Saccharomyces cerevisiae S288C: one gene and its partners. Changing the gene in region 2 together with the main gene of any one other region gives a genetic interaction. Each region holds a gene or a part of one and is shown on either strand. Other genes may lie near its edges. The genes, in order: AIM39, SFL1 and NRG1.

Region 1 (7,239 bases), 360 kb from region 2:
CAACTGGCTACCCGGATAAGCCCCATAATGGCGTTCCTAGGGCTAGAAGAATTTCAAATCGATGACAGCTGATAGAAAGCGCCAGAGATATGTAGCCTTCCATCAGTAGTAATATCCAATAAATTGGGCACCATGGTTTGGCAATCAGGCTTTTTACCCTCGCCCTCTTTTCCTTCGCCTTTTACCTCTTCTGCATCCAATTTCAGCGTACGTACACAATGATTGACTTTGGAAATTTTCACTTTTTTCCACTCGAAGAAAAAAAATTCCAAACACGGTTCTCCGGTATTTAGGCATCGAATAAACTTTGCTAATCGACTAAAAGCATCTCTGCATATCTATACGTGTATATATTGTATTCGCTACAGCTCGCTCCTTGCATCAACTCTTTTTTTCTTTTTTTTCTTCCAGGTTAATCAATTACTGTACTGTAGCTTCTTTTTTATATTTTTTAGGTTTTCATATAGTGTCTTACGCAAATAGGCGGACCATAGAATGACTGTCACCATAAAAGAATTGACTAACCACAACTACATTGACCACGAACTATCAGCCACTTTAGACTCAACGGATGCGTTCGAGGGTCCCGAGAAGTTGCTGGAAATCTGGTTCTTCCCTCACAAGAAGTCCATCACGACCGAAAAGACATTAAGAAATATTGGCATGGATAGATGGATCGAGATTTTGAAATTAGTGAAATGCGAAGTTCTTTCCATGAAGAAGACTAAAGAACTGGATGCCTTTTTGTTGAGTGAGTCTTCCCTCTTCGTCTTCGATCACAAATTGACGATGAAGACGTGCGGTACTACAACCACATTGTTCTGTCTCGAAAAGCTTTTCCAGATCGTTGAGCAAGAGTTATCGTGGGCTTTCCGCACAACACAAGGGGGCAAGTACAAACCATTTAAAGTGTTTTATTCTAGACGATGTTTCCTTTTCCCCTGTAAGCAAGCCGCTATCCATCAAAACTGGGCTGACGAAGTCGACTATTTGAACAAATTTTTCGACAATGGTAAAAGTTATTCCGTGGGAAGAAATGACAAGAGCAACCACTGGAACCTGTACGTCACCGAGACGGACCGCTCCACACCTAAGGGAAAGGAGTACATCGAGGATGACGACGAAACTTTCGAAGTACTGATGACGGAGCTGGACCCAGAATGCGCTAGTAAGTTTGTTTGCGGGCCTGAGGCATCCACAACCGCTCTCGTGGAGCCAAACGAAGATAAGGGCCACAACCTCGGCTACCAAATGACTAAAAATACAAGGCTTGACGAAATATATGTCAACTCGGCCCAAGACTCCGATTTATCATTTCACCACGATGCATTTGCGTTCACGCCATGTGGATACTCATCCAATATGATTCTCGCTGAAAAATACTATTACACCCTGCACGTGACTCCGGAAAAGGGTTGGTCTTACGCCTCTTTCGAAAGTAACATACCCGTATTTGACATTTCCCAAGGGAAGCAAGACAACTTGGACGTTCTTCTACATATTCTGAACGTTTTTCAACCAAGAGAGTTCTCGATGACCTTTTTTACCAAAAATTATCAGAACCAATCCTTCCAAAAACTACTAAGCATCAACGAGTCACTGCCCGACTACATCAAGTTAGACAAAATTGTTTATGATCTGGACGACTACCACCTTTTCTATATGAAATTGCAGAAGAAAATATGAAAAGCCGCCATTTGTGTCTCCTCATACTTACATAGAATAGCCCTCTTCTATTATCCTTCGCTTGCTTTCTAGCACTCATAACTAATGTAGTTTAACCCGCTTGTATATCTTCTACATCATTACCCCGCATGCTTTTTTTTTTCCTCTAGAGAAAACCGGCACAGATTGGCCGGACCCGGAACAGGAAAAATGGCCACTGAAAATTCCTGGCCAGACCACCCCTGAGCTAAGGGAGTTTAGCCGCTCAAGCTTTTATTTCCTCTGATGTAATATATCACACACCCAGACACGGTTGCCAAGGCCTCGACGGAAGGCCGCTTCAAGGGACGGGGCAGTGGCTATCAGAAATACCTTAATATCATCAATATTTTTCATCAATCGCAAGGTGTCAAACATCAATAAAGGATGATGCTCAAAGGTTTATGCCCGATGTTCTTCTAATCCCCTTTCTCTCCTAAAATAATCCTTTTTTTACTCTTCTTCTTTTCCCCTGTTTCCATTTTTGTCTTTTCTCACCCCTTATGGGACATCAATAATGCAAGTATGTTTATACATTTTTATATAAATGTATATATAAATGCCATTTCTTACACATAACCTCCATTCTTTGGTTAATTCTTTCTTCATTCTTTTTTTTTTCATTCTGAAAAGCCCTCCAAGCAAGCACGCTAATTTAATATCGATTTAAACATGAAAGTATCACAAGTTTTCATTTCTGCCATCTCTGTCTTCGGCCTCGCTACTAGCGTAAATGCTCAAAACGCATCCAACACCACGAGTAACGCTGCTCCTGCTTTGCACGCTCAAAATGGTCAACTACTAAACGCCGGAGTCGTCGGTGCTGCTGTTGGTGGTGCTTTGGCCTTTTTGATTTAGGAAAAACGCCGCTTACTGCCACGATGATGATACCCTATTGACGTTTCTGAAATGTATAATTTCTTTTCTCATCTTCCCCTTTGATATTCCATCTATAGGCCCCAGAGTAGTAAATTTGGTGCTTTAATTTTTTTTCTCTTCTTCCAGTTCGTCTCTATTTTTTCATTCCATTATATTTATTTATCAGTTTTACTTTCTCAAATATTCTTATATAACACTATTTCATCTACGTAACCGAAAATAAGTAGTTTAATAACGATAATAATCATAATTGTGATAAAAATATTTACATTTTTCTTACTTGTCGCCCGCTTCGTTTTTGTATAGAACGTACTGTATTAGTTGTCCGTTCTTTTCACGTCTGAAGAGGTCGATTTCTTGCAATTTAACATCAACGTGGTATTTTCCATTATATACAATCAAAGAATCATCGTCCAGTTCGATTTCGCCATGAAACCAAAGGTGTAATGCATGTGAGTCCCCCTGCAGTGGGTATTCGTACTTGAACGACCCGTATACCCTCTCCGGCGATATAATCTCAAATAAATCGGCTGTTTCCAAACCAATGCGGTTCAGTAAATCGTCGATGGTTCCCCGTATACTTATTGGCCGATGCGTTATCCTCCATTTGCAAACAAAGGGTATTCTATACCAAGTGTGCGAACTATCCCTTTTATCGTCTGGCTCCATTACAATACCAGTTACACATGGATCTTGATCTTCGCACCACATGCTGAATTCATTTAACGTGGGTGAATTGCCATCTTTATCAAGCAATGGTACTCCGTATTGTTCCTTGATCATGTCATGACCGGATAATATCTCTAAAACCCTTAATTTAGAAAGCTTCTGTACTTGGTTTACGTCAACCTTTTTCAAATCTCTGGTACTCAGTTTACGTATCTTGGATGATGGAAACAATGGTAAGAAACTTTGTTCCTTTAAATATATCACTCTATAGATTAGTGAGTATCCTAATATCACACCGAATATACCACCAAATATGGCGGACCATATTTGCTTTCGGCGCTTGTTTCGCTGATGTGTTATTGCTTGACCAATGCTTCTCAAGTCCTCTCCTTTTATGTTAGGACTGTGTCCCTCTTCAATTTCCCCCAACTTCGTCTGTTGCTGTTGATGTGGCGTCGTAAAAAAATGCTTGCCATCATGGACATGCCTTTTCGACTCTGTCAATGAATTTCTTTTAGTTGTAATGCTTTTATTCAAGGTATTCAACCTTACATGACAATAGGTAGGCGCCTGGGTAAATAAGCATATACTTCTCGCGGACAGTAGAGATGTGTTAGCATTACGTAGAATCGCAAACCGTATCATTACCCCTTTTTCCTTCTTCTTGCAATTGAATACAGGAAACAGTTGCTTTGTCTTATGTTCGCTGCCACTCTTCTTTGGTTTTAATGCTTTGTTTCTCTCCTGCACTTGAATTTTATTGCTCGGAAAATGCTTCTTGCATAACCCCCACATAATTGGGCTGATTAACGTGACGCTAAAAAAATACCAATAGCAGTCCCAAAAAAAAAAAAAAAAAGATTCACATATGTATTGATTTTACTTTACGAAATTCTTGACCTATTTATATCATAAACGAGTGCTTATATTTCCGATCCTACTATCGCTTAAAAATCTTAATGTAATAAGGATAGAAAGGAAATTTTTTAAAAACATACATAAAAGTTCCGTACATATGCCGTTCCCGCTAGTTAAAATGTTCAGATTATTCATCGTCACTGTCTCCTAGAACTACACGGAAGCGTTTCTGCCTTTTCGGTTGTGGGTCATCTAATTCTTCCGTGTTATCGTCATTGTTATCCTTGACATCGCTGGAGCCGGAATACGAAAGTGAACGATCTTCGGAATCAGAACTCGATTGTATCCGTGTAACCTCCTTCTGATCCTCATCAAGGCTATCACCACTTACAAAACCATCATCATTATGCTCGTAAAAGTCACTATCGCGATCTTCCTCTTCTGTAGCATGTCGCCGTTGCTCCTCTTCCTCATCATCAGTAATAATTACATGTCTGTTCTTGAGTGCAGACAATACCAAATTCCTCCTACTTCCATCTTCATCTTCGTCATCTTCATCATCCTCTATAAAATCTTTCAAATCGGAATCCATCTCCTCTTCTTCTTCCTCATCCTCTTCTTCGTCGTCTTCATCATCCACAGCATCCACAGCAATACTACGATTATGTGACCTGGCCCAACGGCCTAGTGGGATATGTTCTCGCATGGGCTCCTCTTCACTGCTATCATCGTCTTCAGAACTTACATCATCTCTATTAGCAAACGGATTGGTAGACGCAAATCGATTCTCTCTACGCCTACGCATGCTTTCCCGGATTTCATCCAACTCTCCTTCACTGTATTCTTCTTCATCAAATTCGTCGCGACCACCTGCGTAATTCCGTATTCTGGCATTGCAGTGGGGACAAACATTTCCGTCCTCTACTTCGTCTGGGTCTAATTCCCAATGACAATTACTACAACGTGTGATACCATCATCCGAGTCGTCGGCCACTGCCAATGCGCTATTCTTAAATACTTTGTCAAACAATGTGTCCTTTTCCTTGTCATTCTTGTAATCATTTTCCTCCTTGGTTTTAGTTGTTAAAAGTTTTTTAAAAGATTCATCATTCTGGTCCCTTAATTTCTCTAAAATGAATGATAGATACTGTTGCAACGTTGTATTCAATGCGGGAATGGTGGTAATATCAGATCTGCACTGCGGACAAGCCAATTCTTTTTGAGTATTGCTGGCAAACCAGGTGTTCAGACAACCATAGCAATAATTATGACCACAAGGTGTCATCATCGGTACAAACATATAATCGTGGCAGATGGAGCAAACTAACGATTCTATTATCTTATAAAGTATGGCGTCCTTGGTGCCATCGTTTTGGTGAAGTAAACGGTTGTGTAATTCGTCGCCCATTATTCTTATCAATATATTAAAACTTTCTGTCTGAGAAAAAACGCGATCGTTCGTTTTCTGAAAACTTAATGCTTAAAATAGAATATTATCAAATTCCTCATCGCAGTTGTATGCTAGAAGAGAGCTCATCTAAATTGTAGTGGACATAGGATAAAAAACGCCATTGTGTGAAATGGCCCGAAAAAAAAGTATTGGGTATTCAAAAATAACGACCCCAGTGAGGGTTGAACTCACGATCTTGCGATTAACAGTCGCACGCCTTAACCAACTTGGCCATGGAGTCTAATATTTTATGAAAGATCTAAATTTTAGAAACTTAATGATGCACAGTTCTCAATGCACAAGATTGTGAGAAATGGGAGAATTTTGAGACAATTGTTGAGATTCCATTATTAATAAAGGTTTAATATTAGGTATATAGAACATGTTAGAGGTGTTGGAATGAAACTTTAAAATATCATCTTTTTAGTAGTATTCGTGTTACTAGTATATTATCACATGCAGTGTAAGAAGATAACATAAAGATTGGGAAACAGTTAGATTGATTGAAGCGAAATGCAAGGACTAATAATGTAATAGGATAATGAAATGTATAAAACGGAATTGGGAATATTCGTAATATTAGTATGTAGAAATATAGATTCCTTTTTGAGGATTCCTATATCCTCGAGGAAAATTTCTATTATAATCTGTATACATAATATTATAGCCTTCACCAACAATGGAATGACAACAATTATCAAATTATTCACCCAGTATTCAAGAGGTTTTCCACAAGGATATAGGAATCCATAAAAAGGCATCAGTATTATTATTACCATTTCTTATTCATTTACACGCCGTTATTCACTATTATTGAATAATCAATCATTGCATTTTTCAGCTTCCATTACATCTGATGCTATTTCTTAACCTTTATGGTTGCCTCTTATTCAACAAAATTAAAAGGATGAGGATAGAGAGTTAACTGGTTTTAATTTTTGTAGATGTAATGTATCCTCTTACAATTTACATTTGTTAACTCTAGGACATTATTAGGCTAATAAAATCATAACAAAAAGAAAAAAAAAACAAACGAAACAAAGTATTTTTTGTATGCCATGAACCATCTGCATTAATTACTTTAAAGCCAATAAGGACACTAATTAAACGAAAAAATAGGTATACTACTAAGAGATAGGTGAATAATTTGGTAATTATTCAGATGAAACTCTAGAGTGTCATCCATTTAGTAATATTCGTGATACTAGTATATTATCAAATACATTGTAATCATAATCATCATCATCATCATCATCATCATCATCATCATCGTCATCATCATTATTATTATTACTATTCTTTTTATTCTTCCCATTTTTATGTGCAGGCCCTTATTATCTTATTACAATATTTATCCTTGCATTTAGCTTTCATATGAATCTAATGACTGTTTCTTAGTCTTTATGTCATCTTGTCACGTCTTATATGATAATATAATAGTAATATAAATACCAGTCAATAGATATTCGTTAATTGAAAGGGGAGCATCAAACAATTGTGACCAATTAATTCTATATATTTACAAACTTTTACTGTTGTATTAGGGCTCGAGTAATACCGGGGTGTCTAGACAATCCTAATATAAGGAGTCTTTGGGAAGTAATCAGTTGCCAAAACGGATTATCAGCTTGATTCATGGGATGTTGCTTATTCTATATATCATATAAAATATGAATTAC
Region 2 (7,400 bases):
AATTGAAACAAAAGTAATTGGAACAAAGGTAATAAACATACAGTGAGGTGCTTTGAACTTTTAGACAACTAGAGATTAAAAAGGCAAAGATCACATCTTAACCTTTTTGAGTGCCGGAGCGGCCTTATCTTCAGTTTTAGGATCAGCACTGGACGTGCTGCTATCCTCTTGATTCAGTAAAGAATAAACACCGCTCCCTTTTCTCTTACTATTGTCAGCCTCGCCAGTATTCTTAGTGGTGCTCGTTGTGGGCAAAGATGGCTGCGGTAGTTCTATTTGTGGTGCAGGTTCTGCTTGTGATAGGCTTGAGCTGTGCTCGACGTTCATGGGGGAGTTTATTAAATTTGAAGAAACAGCAGGAAGATTGTCCATGTTTTTTGGAGGAGGGCCCGTCAAGACAGACGAGTCTAATGGAGTTACCGAATCTGGAGCACAATTAGCAGCTTTGTTTAATGAGCGAAGCAATCCCTGCTGAGAGTACCGAATTGGGGCTGGATTGTTGGCAACTAGTGTAAAAGAGGAGGATAAAGACGTGCCCGAAATACTGGATTTGAGAGAGTTTCTAGGTTTGGGATACAGACTATCTTCATTCAACGATGATCTCGGTGTCAGCTTCAGAGGACTGTTTCTTCTATCGTTGGGCAAAGAGCTTGTAGACCCGAGACTTCTCATTTTTGGTTGAGAATACAATCTCGTTGTTGGTTCATTAATAGGATATATTGGACTCGGAGCCATATTTTGAGGGACAGGCTTGTTGTAGTCACGGACAGAAGGATTAATATTCATGATAGGATAGTTTAGTGGACCCTGAACTCCAACACTCGCTGCGGGAGTCAGCGGGTCCATGAGAACACTATTGGTCCTCTTCGTGTTGCCCGGTTTGTTGTTATTTTTCGAGGCAAAAGGATTGTGCATCATTTGTGGAGTGCTAAAAGTGTCTGCATATTGTGGAGGTAGTTGTTGGATGGGTATCGGCTGATTGATAAAGTTTGGTACATGTGCCGGTTGCTTCGCATAAGTCACATGTTGTTGCGACTGCGGTTGGTATTGTACAAAAAGTTGCGAGGGCGGCACTGAAGCCGTGTTGAATCTCGAAGGGATGTTCGTGGTCGAGGAAGATTTCTGCGGGACATACTGGTTCCCTGGAGGAACCATCATCTCATACTGAGATTTGGGTGCATATGCAGATGTGGATGTGGGCGCGGGTGCAGGGGCGACAGAGGCAGCGGTAGCGGCAGCATTTACAGCACAAAGAGAATCTATTGTACGGTGGGCCCTCGACATGACGTGCTGTTTGAAAGTTAACATATCGCTTTCGAATGCCTGAAGTTGCTTTTGGTGATCCTTCACGATATTTTCCGATTTTTTCTTGCTCACATTCTTGAAGGTGAAACTCTGTGAACAAAAACTGTGTTGCAAAGATATGAAATGCTGCATAGACTCTATAATCTTAACCATATCAAAATTTATTTCTTTCAAATGTTTCAGTGTTTCATCTTGAAAGTTCGGAGGTCTGTTTTGCTCTTGCATTTCCGGGTTATTGGATTCCAGCGGGGCATGGTTTGCGTTTTCGTAAGTTACATGAGAGTTATTAAAGTACTCGGGGATAGAGTTATTGGCGCCCGGAATTTGCGGAACGAAATTACCAAAGGAATTGGAACTGGTGGACGGGTCTTGAATCGAAGAGGGTCTTACTCTTGCACCGGAATCTATATCGTAGTTTTGATTACTAGAATTCTTTCGACTGTTAATTGAGGAGTTATTACGGGAAGAAGCTCTTCTCTTAATGTGTTTGAGTCCCTCAATGTCACCTTTCTTGAAAATACCAGAACTATGCTTAAATTCCCAGATTTTAGTGGGGTTACTTTTCTCCTTTTCTTGGACACCGCCACCGGTATTTTCGTCGCCACTACTGTTTTTGTTGCCACTATTATCATCGTGAGTATTGCTGTCATCATTAGTATTGGCGTCGTCGCCACTATTAGCGTCGTTGCTGCTATGATCATGCGACACCTTGTGAAAGCCGTAAATGTTCAACTGTCTTACAAAGCTCGTGATATTAGTATGCTTGAAATATGTAGCCAAAGCCTTACTAAACCGTTCCACAGGCTTAATCATGAAGGATAAGCCCGAAGGGGTCCACCATATCAAGTCGTGTAGCGATTCGTCCTCCAGAATCTGGTATAGCTTATGGATGAATATCGCATTTTGTGGCGGCCTGGGCCCCACTAGCATCTTCGACCCATGTTTCTTAACATCCTCGGCACCGTCGCCGCCTTCAGCACCAGCATTAGCTATTCCAGCTGCTGCTCCACCACTACCTACATCGGTTCCAGCCGGGGCCGGTGTAGAAGCTGGAGCTGGGGCTGAGACCGTTTCCTCTTCACTCATGATTTTTTCTTCTTTTTTTCTATATAACTGATTTGTGCTGTCTTAGGACCCTCTGAATGTACCAAATAGTGTCGAATTACAATATTCTTTGTTATGTATATAGAGCTGAGTGCTTTGTGTGCGTATGCGTATGTGTGTGTGTGTGAATTTTTTCCTTGAACCTGTCACTGTGGCGATGAAGGTTCACTATGTTCTTTTTTCCCTGCTTTTCAAACTATCTTTGAAACTTTCCACTTCACACCAGTACGACTTCTTTGAAAAATTCGTAAGTCGAATAAATAATATTATTTCGCCGTGCGTTTGTGTTTCTGTTTCAACAACCCTTTGTGTGCACCTGTATAGAGTGTTTAAAAAGAGATCCTTCTTGCTAGCTGAAAAAGTTTATGTCGAATAAAAACGTCTTTTCATGTACTGAACATCTGTTTTTCCGGCGGAGATGCAGCGATGGATGCGCTTGCTGCCAAGGCATCTGTGCCGGGCGGGTGATGTCCGGGCGACCCGGCACGGAAGTAAAAGATACTATTGTTGAAAGGTACTTCTCACTACAAGGCTTAAGGACCTGTCGGAGTAGAGGAAAGAAGAGAAGAAGCCGGAAAAGGAGAGTCGTCACCTGTAAAAGGAATCTTAAGTAATTGATTTTTGTTAAGTAAGCTACGATGATGGATAATCAGGCTGTAAAGTCACTGCTAGAAATGGGTATTCCACACGAAGTAGCTGTGGACGCCCTCCAAAGAACTGGCGGTAATTTGGAGGCAGCAGTTAACTTCATCTTTTCGAACGAGCTGCCGGAGCAAGCGGAAATGGGTGAGGAGAATGATGGCAGTCAGCCTAGGATTTCTGAGAACAAAATAGTGGCTGGAACCAAGCCCTGCGATGTTCCGAACAACGGGGACCAAGACATTGATATGCCGGATGTGAGTGGTGTCGATGTTGATTATGATGACGATGAAGACATCACGGATGAACGCAGCGGTTCTAATAGCACCAGCGGATGCAGGGTTACTGCTCAGAACTACGATCGTTATTCTATATCGGAGACATCCATTCCTCCCCCCTCTTATAGTATAGTACAACACAACGAGTTCAAGTCGAACGTGGGCGATCCTACGGTTGTGTTGCCGCTACCCTTGAATAGTCTAATTGAGAGCTATTTTGGGCTGTTTGCGTTGCTCACGGCCGTGTATTTCCCACACGTGTTCTTGAAACCGGACTTTAAGGATTTGAACTATAGGGCAGACTGGTTCAAGGGCTCATCGTTTACGGAGCCCAAATACAGACTTGCATATTGCGAGGCAGAAGATGGTTCCACTACGTCGGAGATCGTGCTGGCCAGCGGACCTAATGAAGGGTTGCAACCGCATCTGCTCTGGCAGTTGCAAAAACTCATCTCCGTGGTTAACACGCGAAAGTGTGAAAGAGCCTTTGTTTCGGCCAAGGTGTTTACGTCGTCCTTGGAACCGCAATTGAGGTCCAAGCTGGCCGATTCCGAGCATCTTTATGAGGTGCTCCCAGCGTTTATCAAATCATTGGCAGTGGATTTGGAAATGTGTCCTGGGATCAGAGACCGGGAAACAAGAAGTCTCTTTATATCTTCTGCTTTGCATACTCCGAACAAGAATGAACCTCCAATGGAGACGTTTTTGTCCTTGTTTCATTTTCTTCCTGAAGAGTACGATTCTAATCTATATAAAATGTTCAACGTTTTATTGTACCCCGAAGAAGAGGAAGAAGAAGAAGACGTGATTCGTGGTGGCGAGCAAGAAGAGGCGAGATATGTGGAACCGGAGAATACTTTGAAGGAGGTGGCACCCGTATTAACAATCCTGTTCAATGAACTAGAAACAAATACAGAATCAGTGTCTCTACCCAATGGCGTGGATATACCGCTTGAGTTTTACCCACAGCTTTACACCAAACAGTGCAAAGACCAACTAATAAGACATATTATTTCTAAACGAAAGCAAGCGCGGACCAGATCCAGATGCTTGCTTCAAGAGATCAACGAGTTAAAGAGTTACCAAGGCAAAAACATATCCACTATTCTAGAGTCGACGCTGGCGTATCTACAAACAATTCCTGACGATGCTAATAATGAAGCAGCAAAGCAGATCGCATCGTTGAAAGATACATTAAATTCTGCGAGAGCCGCTAAAATGGAGGAATATAAGGACTTGGCGTCCAAACTGCATGGAGAATGGAACCTTTCACATCCAGAGACACACATAATCAACACTGCAAAGCAATTGGGACTGATCGAAAATCCCTACATCCTCACAATGGCAGCACTATCGCCATATTCATACTTTATCAGAAGCAGAAACGGTGCATGGTCATGGATACAAAGTAATACGTTGGGAACAGAATTCAAGGTGAAAAAATGTTCGTCGCCTTCTGTCGTTCAAGAAGCCATCAAGCATGGCACGAAGTACGCAAGTGAAACTCCGCTGATGTTCATATACTGTGAAGAGGGTAAAATTCCCACGGAAGAAGTAGTCGCGGAAGCGTTGAAAAGCAATAGCGGGTGCTTAAAATTTGCTGAGGATGACCAAAATTCATTAAAAACATTGCGTTCGCAATTTTTCGATGGTATGGGAGATCCTGAACAAGCCACCAACAATATTAACAATGGTAACGATAATGACAATGACGATGACATCGATTCTGATAATTAGATAGATTTCTATACACTTTCCGCCAGATAAATAACGTATGTCTCTTTAAACTATGATCTCATTTTCTCTAGTAATTTTGAACCGCATATATGTTACTAGTTTACGTTTTCAATACTATAGAAACTCCGCTTGGAGGCTAACTGCGCCCGCAATCCGAAAACTTCTATTTACGGACATAAATTAGACTCTAAGGATCAAACAAAAATAAAAAGGTTGACAGATAAAGGACAGTTTTAATTTTTATACTTTTGATCTGAAATAATGCCAAGTCCTAAACTTATTATAATATAGCCTCGAACACAAGATCATTGAGTTGCTTTTTCTAACTTCTCCTTTCTTTATTTTACTTTAGCCGCAACAATACCCCTTCTATTTTAATTCTGACTTCAATTCATTTCAACTTTACGACCTTTTTTTTCAATTTCGGTTCTGCAGTACTCTTCATTTGTCGATTAATTCGAGGTTTTCATTATTTCTTGAAATTTCTTTCAAGTTGCTTTAGTTTCATTTCCAAAAGAGATTTAAATAACTTACCTTTTTCTCATTCCTTTCGATTATTTTACTTTCCAACAATTAGCTCTTATCACATTCATTGACCTTCGCAAACAATACCCTTCAAATATTTGCATGAGATTACATTATAGAAGAAGATTTAATTTTTTAAGGAGAATACTTTTTATATTATGCATTACTTCATTGTATTTATCGAGAGATTCACTAAAGCTACATGCAAAAAATGTATTAATGGATCATAATGTAGCAGAATATCATGGCGGAATGATAGACGATATTCAAATCCTGCGGTGCTACCATTGGTACAGGCAATGTAGTTCTTTGTATGCCCCGAAATTACACCCCTCCAATACTGCTAAAAAGATCAAAGACAAAAACAGCATTCTGTGGACCAGAGTTTCTAAGAATATTACTGTAGAGACATTGTATTCACTTCAGTCTGGACCATTCTACAACAGTTACTTATATGTTCATCTGAAAGATTTCCAAAGTAATCCAAAAAACACAATAAAAGAACTAGCCATAGCAAGGGACTCAGCACTAATACCCCTACAAGTGCTGAGAGACATTAATAAGTTGGTGAAATCGAGCGACAGTTCTGTCTTTCACAATCATGTGTATCTACGAGAAAAGCCTACTTCGTCATGGTGGAAGCTGCTTTTCGGCATATCCGTTGATACAGATAACATAGCTGTGTTCGGTGAGGAGTGGGTATACAAGGGGAGCGGCATATGGTGTAAGTATATCCTTAATGATGATGATAATGACGCTCCTATAACTAATTTGGAAATATATCTAGGATCATCGTTTATTGAATCGAGGCCTTCTTGGAAAGAAGTTATCCATGAATTTCATAGAAATAACATACCTTCTCTGCCCATATCAATTACAAGAAAGCTTGAAACCAAAAACCATCATCACAAATTTTCTAATGGATTGCTAGGTTCTTTGAGAACACCCAGCAAAGACATTAATATCCAAGTCGATGCAGATTACAAAATAACATCTCCCCATATACAATTTTCGAGGGGACAAAGATCATTCAAAATTCTCCAAATAACTGATTTTCATTTCAAATGTACGGATAATAGCATGACCGTAATCAATGAAATAAAAACAGTAAATTTTATTGATAGGGTACTCGCATCAGAAAACCCTGATTTAGTTGTGATCACAGGTGATTTGTTAGACTCACATAATACTATCGACTATCAAACGTGCATTATGAAAGTTGTCCAACCAATGATTTCTAATAAAATACCCTACGCAATTTCATTGGGTGTTTCTGACGAATCCAATTTGGCCACATCGGCACAAATTAGAGACTTTATCAGGAATTTACCTTACACATTTAACAACGTTGCATCAGAAGAGGGTCATATGGCCATAGAAGTCTCATTTAAAAAGAAGCTCACGAAGAATACTCTTTTGGAAAGAGACATTGATACCGAAGACGAAACAAACCCATCAGAGGCTTTATTTTTCGTCTTTGATTCATTTGCGCCCGTCAATAATTTCCTACAAGATTATAACGACCTGATTGGGAAAATAGACTTTGGCTTGGCATTTCAATATTTTCCATTATCGGAATATAGGCCTCATGGTTTATTTCCTATTATTGGGCAGTATAATGAGAGGTCTACCTTAACAGTAGATACGCCAAGGTCTAGAGGACAAGTTTCAATGACGATCAATGGCAAACATTACAAAAGCTTCCTTGATATCCTGAGTCTTTGGAATATAAAGGGTGTCAGTTGCGGACATGAACATAATAATGACTGTTGCTTACAGTCAAAAAATGAGATGTGGTTATGTTACGGTGGG
Region 3 (6,858 bases), on a different chromosome or scaffold from region 2:
TTCCAACTACAAATTAGGTCAGCTGATGAGCCGATGACTACCTTTTATAAGTGTGTAAACTGTGGTCATAGATGGAAGGAAAATTAAGAAGTCCTTGAATATAAGATGAATTTTCTAAGAATAAAAAGAGTAATAAAAACATCTTAAAATTTGATTAGAAGGCATGATCGCATATTGAGAATGAAGGCTGCTGCCATATTTTTAGAGCAATAGATACTGATATAATTTTTGATCCTGCACGTACTGTGAACTTGCATCATAAATAGGACGCAATAATTAATATTTTTAAGAATAGAGATCCTGTATCAATTGAATTTGAAGAATTATGTAAAGGAGGTATAATAAATAGATAAAAAAATGTATAAATAAGTGGTCGAAATAATTAAATCATCATTGTCATTGAGATCATAAAATCGGTCTGCTAAAGAACCTTGAATTATTTAACCCACTCTCTTGGTTTGGTGGTAACTTCTAGTAATTTAGCTTCTCTGGAACCAGGAGCAGGGTGGTGGTTGTATAACCATGAAGCATGTTCAGGCAAACTCATCAAAATTGACTCAACTCTAGAGCCTGGGGTTCTCAAACCGAATTGGGTACCTCTATCGTAGATTAAGTTGAATTCAACGTATCTACCACGTCTAATGGCCTGCCATTGTTGTTCTTCCTTTGTATATGGCATATCTTTTCTTCTCTTGACGATAGTCAAGTAGGATGGCAAGAAAGCATCGAAACAGTCTTCAACCATCTTCAATATTTCTTGTGGGTCACGTTCATCATAATCGTCAAAGAATATACCACCAATACCACGTGTTTCCTTACGGTGGGTAATGTAGAAGTACTCATCACACCATTTCTTGAAACGTGGGTACAAAGCAGTGTCGTGCTTGTCCAAGGCATCCTTGTGCAGTTGGTGGAATAATTGACCGTCTTCTTCGTATAAGTAAGAAGGTGTCAAATCAGCACCACCACCAAACCACCAAGTTTGTGGGGTCCCATCTTGGTTCCAAGTTTCGAAGTAACGGTAGTTTAAGTGCGTGGTTGGAGCGTGTGGGTTAACGGGATGAATGACCATACTTAAACCACAAGCGAAGAACTTGACACCGTCGGTAACTGGCAAACCAGTCTTTGGATCTTCTGGTAGACGCAGATTCTTATGATCAGCTTTCATGGCTGAAACGGCCGCTGGGCTCAATTGACCATAAACAACGGAGACATTAACACCACCTTTTTCGAAAGTTGTACCGTCTTGGATAACCATAGAGGTACCACCACCACCATCGTTACCACGGGTCCAAGTATCAGCGTGGAACTTAACAGTATCGATGGATTCCAAACCTTGCGTGATTTCAGCTTGTTTGCGACGGATAAGAGCTTCCATTTGTTGTCTAATTGGAAGATTCCTTGGATCTTGAGGGGCAGGCATCTTTATGTGTATTTAATTGTGTTCGAAGAGTTCGGTTTGCTATGTTTGATTTGCGAAAAGAAAGCTTTTGATATGCTCAAAAAAAGAAAACCCGGAGAATAAAAGCTTAACAAAGAAAGACAATAGGTGGAAAAAAAAAGGAAAATCCGTGTCCTTATATAGCCTTTCGAAACGAGAACAATGGGCAAAGCAAGCTTTATCTTCGGATCGTCCGTCAGCGCTTTGGTTGCAGTCTTATGCTTTGTTCAAGCTGGAGCGTTATTGGTGGGAGAACCAGAAAAGGCGAAAGCGTAGCGTTCTTTGAAATTTGGCTTCTGTTCCTGCGACTCGTTTAAAAGTAGAAGGGCCCGCGGAGCCGCTGTGAAAGATTTCTTTTACTCTTTCAGCGCAGAAATCTCGCAGGAGCTCAGCAGAAAGTGCCTATGACGGTAATCCCAGGGGCTAATGGTGTGAAGGCACTTTCTAAACAATTGAAATTAAAATACCGTGCCTATAGTAACTTTTTTTTACGCTGTGAACCGTTCAACACACAGTAAAAACTCCGCAGGAAATGGTTTGAAGAATCTTAATCACGAATTAGGCGTATTGTTTTTCCCAACAGTGAACGAGAGGACAAACTCCAGAGGATTTGCGGGCTTGATGATAAAATGTATTGTTGAAAAGATCGCGAATGCAACAATTACGGTGGGGAGAAATATCAACAAAAGGGCAAGGCTATGCCTTCTGGAAAGTGGCAGACTTGCACTTTCCTCGAAAAGAAAAATGACCGCAAGATCCGGTTGTTCTCAACCTTCTACATTAAGACATACTTCTACGATTTTCGAATGCCGAAGCAACTATCGCTGAAATTTGTCATGTCAAAATTGCTACTGGGGGAGAAGAATATATATGGAAGTAATTATTATTTACGTTGCTGAAATGGCAGGTTAGACGCATGTTTTGCAAAATAAGTGGTTTTGAAAAGAATTGATACTAGGAATCGGTGCAATACCTTCTACCTTTCTTAATAGGTATTCTTGAATAATCTACCTCACTTTCTGTCCCAGATACGAGATGTCGAGCGCCTCGAAAATAGATATCGTTTATTACGTTAGATACGGAAAGGTCTACGTGTCATAATAAATTGCATCTGGATTGCGATTTTGGGTCATGCCTAACTGGGAAAATATTTACATCTCCATGTTCTCATTCTGCCTTTGCTTTCCTTCAAAACATGGTTTTCAATTCAACCTAGGGTCTACCGCGGAACCATATGTACGCCGTAAATGCGAGTGTTCTTGAAAGGTAGTAATGTGTTCCCTCTCAATATGTAAGTCCTTCAAGAGTATGCACTTGCAGTTGCACTGTTTCGGGTAATTATCCGTCATTAAGAAAAAGATGCTTCCACTTTCTCGTGTTTTTACGCACAATCGTGCCATTTAACCGGAAATAGACTCCATTGCATTGATTGCTCTCATAAAAATTATAGCCCGCGTTTGATACTTGTTTAAAATAGGTGTCGACAAAGTTAGTTTCTGTCTTCCATTTAGTTTTTACAATATGACACGTCAAATAAATCTTTTCGATTTAGTTAAAAGAGTTACCTGGCGATAGCCTTCTGGTAAAACACCTATTCATAAAACAATCTTAAAAAACCAAAAAATTACCAAACAACTATGTAGGACATATTTTTACAGTTCATAAAAACGCTTCGAGCTGCCGATATCGGTATCAAACACCAAAATATACATAGTGCTGGTTTAAGCCAGAATATCTTGGTGAAGCTGCGCCTATATGCCTTGTATTTAAAACAAGTCACGAAAAGCTATTGCCAAAGGAACATAAAAACTCGTATCTATGTTATATTATAAAAAAGATATAATATTTATATATTATTATTAATATTATTTTTTAGTTCCGAAAGGAGAAACTTATAATTTTTATATCATTATTTATTATTATTTTTAATTTCAACTCCTTTTATACCTATTACTGCATGTGGAGAAAAGATTAAACCAGGCGAGGCAATTTACACTTATTCATTGAGATAAGATGAAAGAGCCACGCCTCGTTACATTTAGGCTACATCATATAACAACTAGTCCCAGCCTCCCCCCTTCCCCACCTTGGAGTACTTTTCTCCAGAAATAGAAAGCTAAGAATCAAAATCGCACCATTACGTATGAGCTCATTTGCCGTCTTTTCCCCGACAATCCGGCACAAAATCTGGCTACCCGTCGTATGTATGGTAGACGATATTATGTACTCTAGTAATGCTATGTACGAATAGTTTCAGACGGGCACAGGGACCTAGAACGCCAAGCGCAAAAAAAAGCTGATAGGAATTCGACGTCACGAACCCTTGGAGTAAAAGAAAACTAAAATATACGAACTTCGCGGAAAATAAAAAACTTTTCCTTCAGTTGTTCCTCGTTCGAAACAGTAATCTACACGGACCGTTGCTTATTTTTAGCCAGATTCTAGTTAAATAAAAAAAAAAGAAATAAAATTAAAAAAAAATTAAACTGTGGCAGATAAGCCTTTCTAATCGAGGCAGTGTGTTTCTTTTGACTTCACCGTTTGTCTTCGCATAGTTCCCCTAAATATTCTAACTAGAAAAATCGCTAGTATTTTTCTACTTATAAGTTGATTTTCCGCATATTTGTCTTTGAAACGTTTGAGACAGGGAAAACTCTGTTTTCTAAAAGAGGAAAAAGCAAAATGAAGTATTGGCTTGGTTGCGGTCAACACCCTCAGGGAAAGCCAAGAAATGCTTTTTACTGTTTAGCAGTGAAAAGGCCGCACCGGAAAAGAAGGGAAAAATTCATTGGGTCTAGATTTTTCTTATCGGTAAAAGACTATGGCCTCTTGAGGACCCTTAAGCGTGAAACGAAACGCGTTGAGCGCGCAGAGGGGCTTCGCCGCCGGTCAGGGTGTTTGGGGTGTTTTTTCTTTTAATTATTCTCTTGGCAGTGTCATCTTTCTACAGTCTGGCTGCAGGCTCCTTTTCCGTTATTCATATATAAGGAAGAGAACTTTCCAAACCCAAATTAAAAAAAATTTGGTTCCCATCTCTTAACTAAAAGAAATTATATTACTCCACCTCGTTTACAGTTTTTTGATGCTATAAGGGAATTCTGCAGCTTTTGAAAGTAAAAATCATATCGTATACGATTCTGCAAAGTATTATTGTACTGTAATTCCTACCATTACGGCGCCTTTTTCTACCATTCACCTTTCTTGGATTGTTCCTCTCGACCAGCATATTACTACCCTTCGCAAACTTTCAGGCAATGTTTTACCCATATAACTATAGTAACCTCAATGTTTCTACTATGCCCGCACTGCCGGGAATCTCCGCATTTGATGGAATGCAAGATGAAGAAAACGTTGAAATAAGCCCGGAAAGAAAATATCAGACGCTACTACCAGTTCTAACTAATTCTCATGTGGTAGAGAATGAACTAAAACACAAATTAAATAAGACTGCTTTTGATTTCCGATACCAAACCAAATCAGAAAATGGCTCTGAAAAGTGGGAGCCAAAATACTTAATAACGCCTAATTTACAAACAAGAAGCGTCTCTTTTGACAATTCATCGGTACAATATAATTCAGATTCATCCGAAAAAAGCTCGCTATCACAACTAACTTGTAATTCATCAATAATACAACAGCCTGAGAACGGAATAGTTTCTAATGATGCATATAATAAGATGGCAAATAGTAGATACTCTCTGAAAACGCGGAAGCAAAGAACAGATCCAAGAAATACGTTATCAGATGAGGAAGACCTTGAACAAAGGCGCAAATACATTTGCAAAATTTGCGCAAGAGGATTCACTACATCGGGTCATTTAGCAAGGCATAATAGAATTCATACGGGCGAAAAAAATCATTGTTGTCCGTATAAGGGATGCACGCAGCGATTCAGTCGACATGATAATTGCTTGCAACACTATAGAACACATTTGAAAAAGGGACAATAATTGACGGTATACCCGTGTTTTTCTCATTAGCAGTACTACTATTCCGCACTTTACATCATTTTTTATAAACTCATGCATACATACATTGTACTTCAAAAGATTTTTTTTTTTTTTTGGCATCATAAATCACTTTCAGATCAGTTTCCTTTCAAACGCGCGGCATTAAGAAAACTTTTAATGTCAAAAAAACGGAAGCAAAAACCCCTCCCTTCCGCTTAAGATCATGTCTGGACATTTTAGTTGTAAGGCTGCGCCTCGGTAGCAAGTAGTGCTGCAACAAGGCTATTATGCCACCTAAACAGACCACTTTTGCTTAATACGAGACTGTGACTACCTCCTGACTTCCTGTCATAACAAAAAAACAGACGTCGCTGCATTAACATTTACAACCCCAAACCTTCTTCATTCATTGCTTTTCTTTTAGAAACTGTGGCTTTTTGACATTTGCAGTTTGCATAGTTACTTTTTGATCACTAACAACGATATATTATCGTTGAACAATTTACTACGCAAAACAGTTCACGTGATGTACGTCAGATAATTCACTGAAGGTACTACCTTTCGAGCATCTCTTACAGCAATGGTAACAGCTCATTGAAGAAGAAAAAAATAAGACAAATTTTTTTAGAGCTGCAAGCGTTTTACTAGGCATCAGAACTGTCTCCGAACAATAGTATAGTTAATTATTATACTTCAACCCTAGAAGAAATACCCGAAGATGTAAGGATGTTTTTGTTCCTATAAGCTTTTTTTTTTCACAAAATTTTCATCCACTCTACGTCTTCCATACGGTCATATAAAAGGTGCCATATCCTCGGCCAAGACAAAAGGCTTCAGCTCCATATCTTTTGAAATCATGTAAACGCATGGGGCTCAAGTACTGAGCAAAGTAGGAGAAAGGATATTGAACATGTTCAGAAGAACGTGGTATCTTTTTCCTTATTATACATTCTCTTGGCGAGTGATCGAAAATATATATGATGATATCCTATAACAACAACAACATGAATTTCTTCGTCCGAATCCTTTATAGGTGGAAACAAACTTTGACAATAGCTTTTTAACACTGATAATATATTTTCGCGTCATTCTTGCTGATTTTCTTTTTTCTTATTCTTATTGTGCTTCATCCTCCATCTTCAATGGCGGTAACGTAAATCAGAGTAGCTTTCATTTTCTTTATTTCTGTTTCTGTTTCGCGTCGGGATAACAAAGCGTACTTACTAATGGCTATTATTTTTGCTAATGACACAAAATCCTGTTACCAATTTCCAAGAAGAAAGGCGGATAACAGGGAAAAATTTGAATCTGTGTATCTGCAGTACAAATATTATATATTGGAAGAACACGCACTTATATCTTCTTCATGTTTGTCATTTTATTAGAAACTTTACTATTGAAAATAGCGAATCAACAACAGCTAACAAACGACTAGGTCTCTAAGAGAAAAAATCTTTTTCTTTTCAC

The links.
Region 1: mutations in SFL1 (region 2) and AIM39 together harm fitness more than expected from each alone (negative genetic interaction), as found in Saccharomyces cerevisiae (2 studies listed by BioGRID).
Region 3: mutations in SFL1 (region 2) and NRG1 together harm fitness more than expected from each alone (negative genetic interaction), as found in Saccharomyces cerevisiae (2 studies listed by BioGRID).

The regions. Positions count from the first base shown.
Region 1 is NC_001147.6:226,893-234,131, reverse strand, and holds AIM39 (Aim39p), read right to left. Parts: upstream 4,048-7,239; coding exon 2,860-4,047; downstream 1-2,859. Other genes in the region: adenosylmethionine decarboxylase SPE2, read left to right, coding at 496-1,686; DDR2 (Ddr2p), read left to right, coding at 2,377-2,562; ubiquitin-protein ligase PSH1, read right to left, coding at 4,298-5,518.
Region 2 is NC_001147.6:581,972-589,371, reverse strand, and holds SFL1 (Sfl1p), read right to left. Parts: upstream 2,392-7,400; coding exon 91-2,391; downstream 1-90. Other genes in the region: RUP1 (Rup1p), read left to right, coding at 3,048-5,063; SIA1 (Sia1p), read left to right, coding at 5,691-7,400. UniProt on the Saccharomyces cerevisiae protein: Involved in cell surface assembly and regulation of the gene related to flocculation (asexual cell aggregation). Mutations in SFL1 causes constitutive cell aggregation.
Region 3 is NC_001136.10:541,207-548,064, reverse strand, and holds NRG1 (transcriptional regulator NRG1), read left to right. Parts: upstream 1-4,695; coding exon 4,696-5,391; downstream 5,392-6,858. Other genes in the region: DNA-directed RNA polymerase III core subunit RPC11, read left to right, coding at 1-87; HEM13 (coproporphyrinogen oxidase), read right to left, coding at 437-1,423. UniProt on the Saccharomyces cerevisiae protein: Transcriptional repressor involved in regulation of glucose repression. Binds to UAS-1 in the STA1 promoter.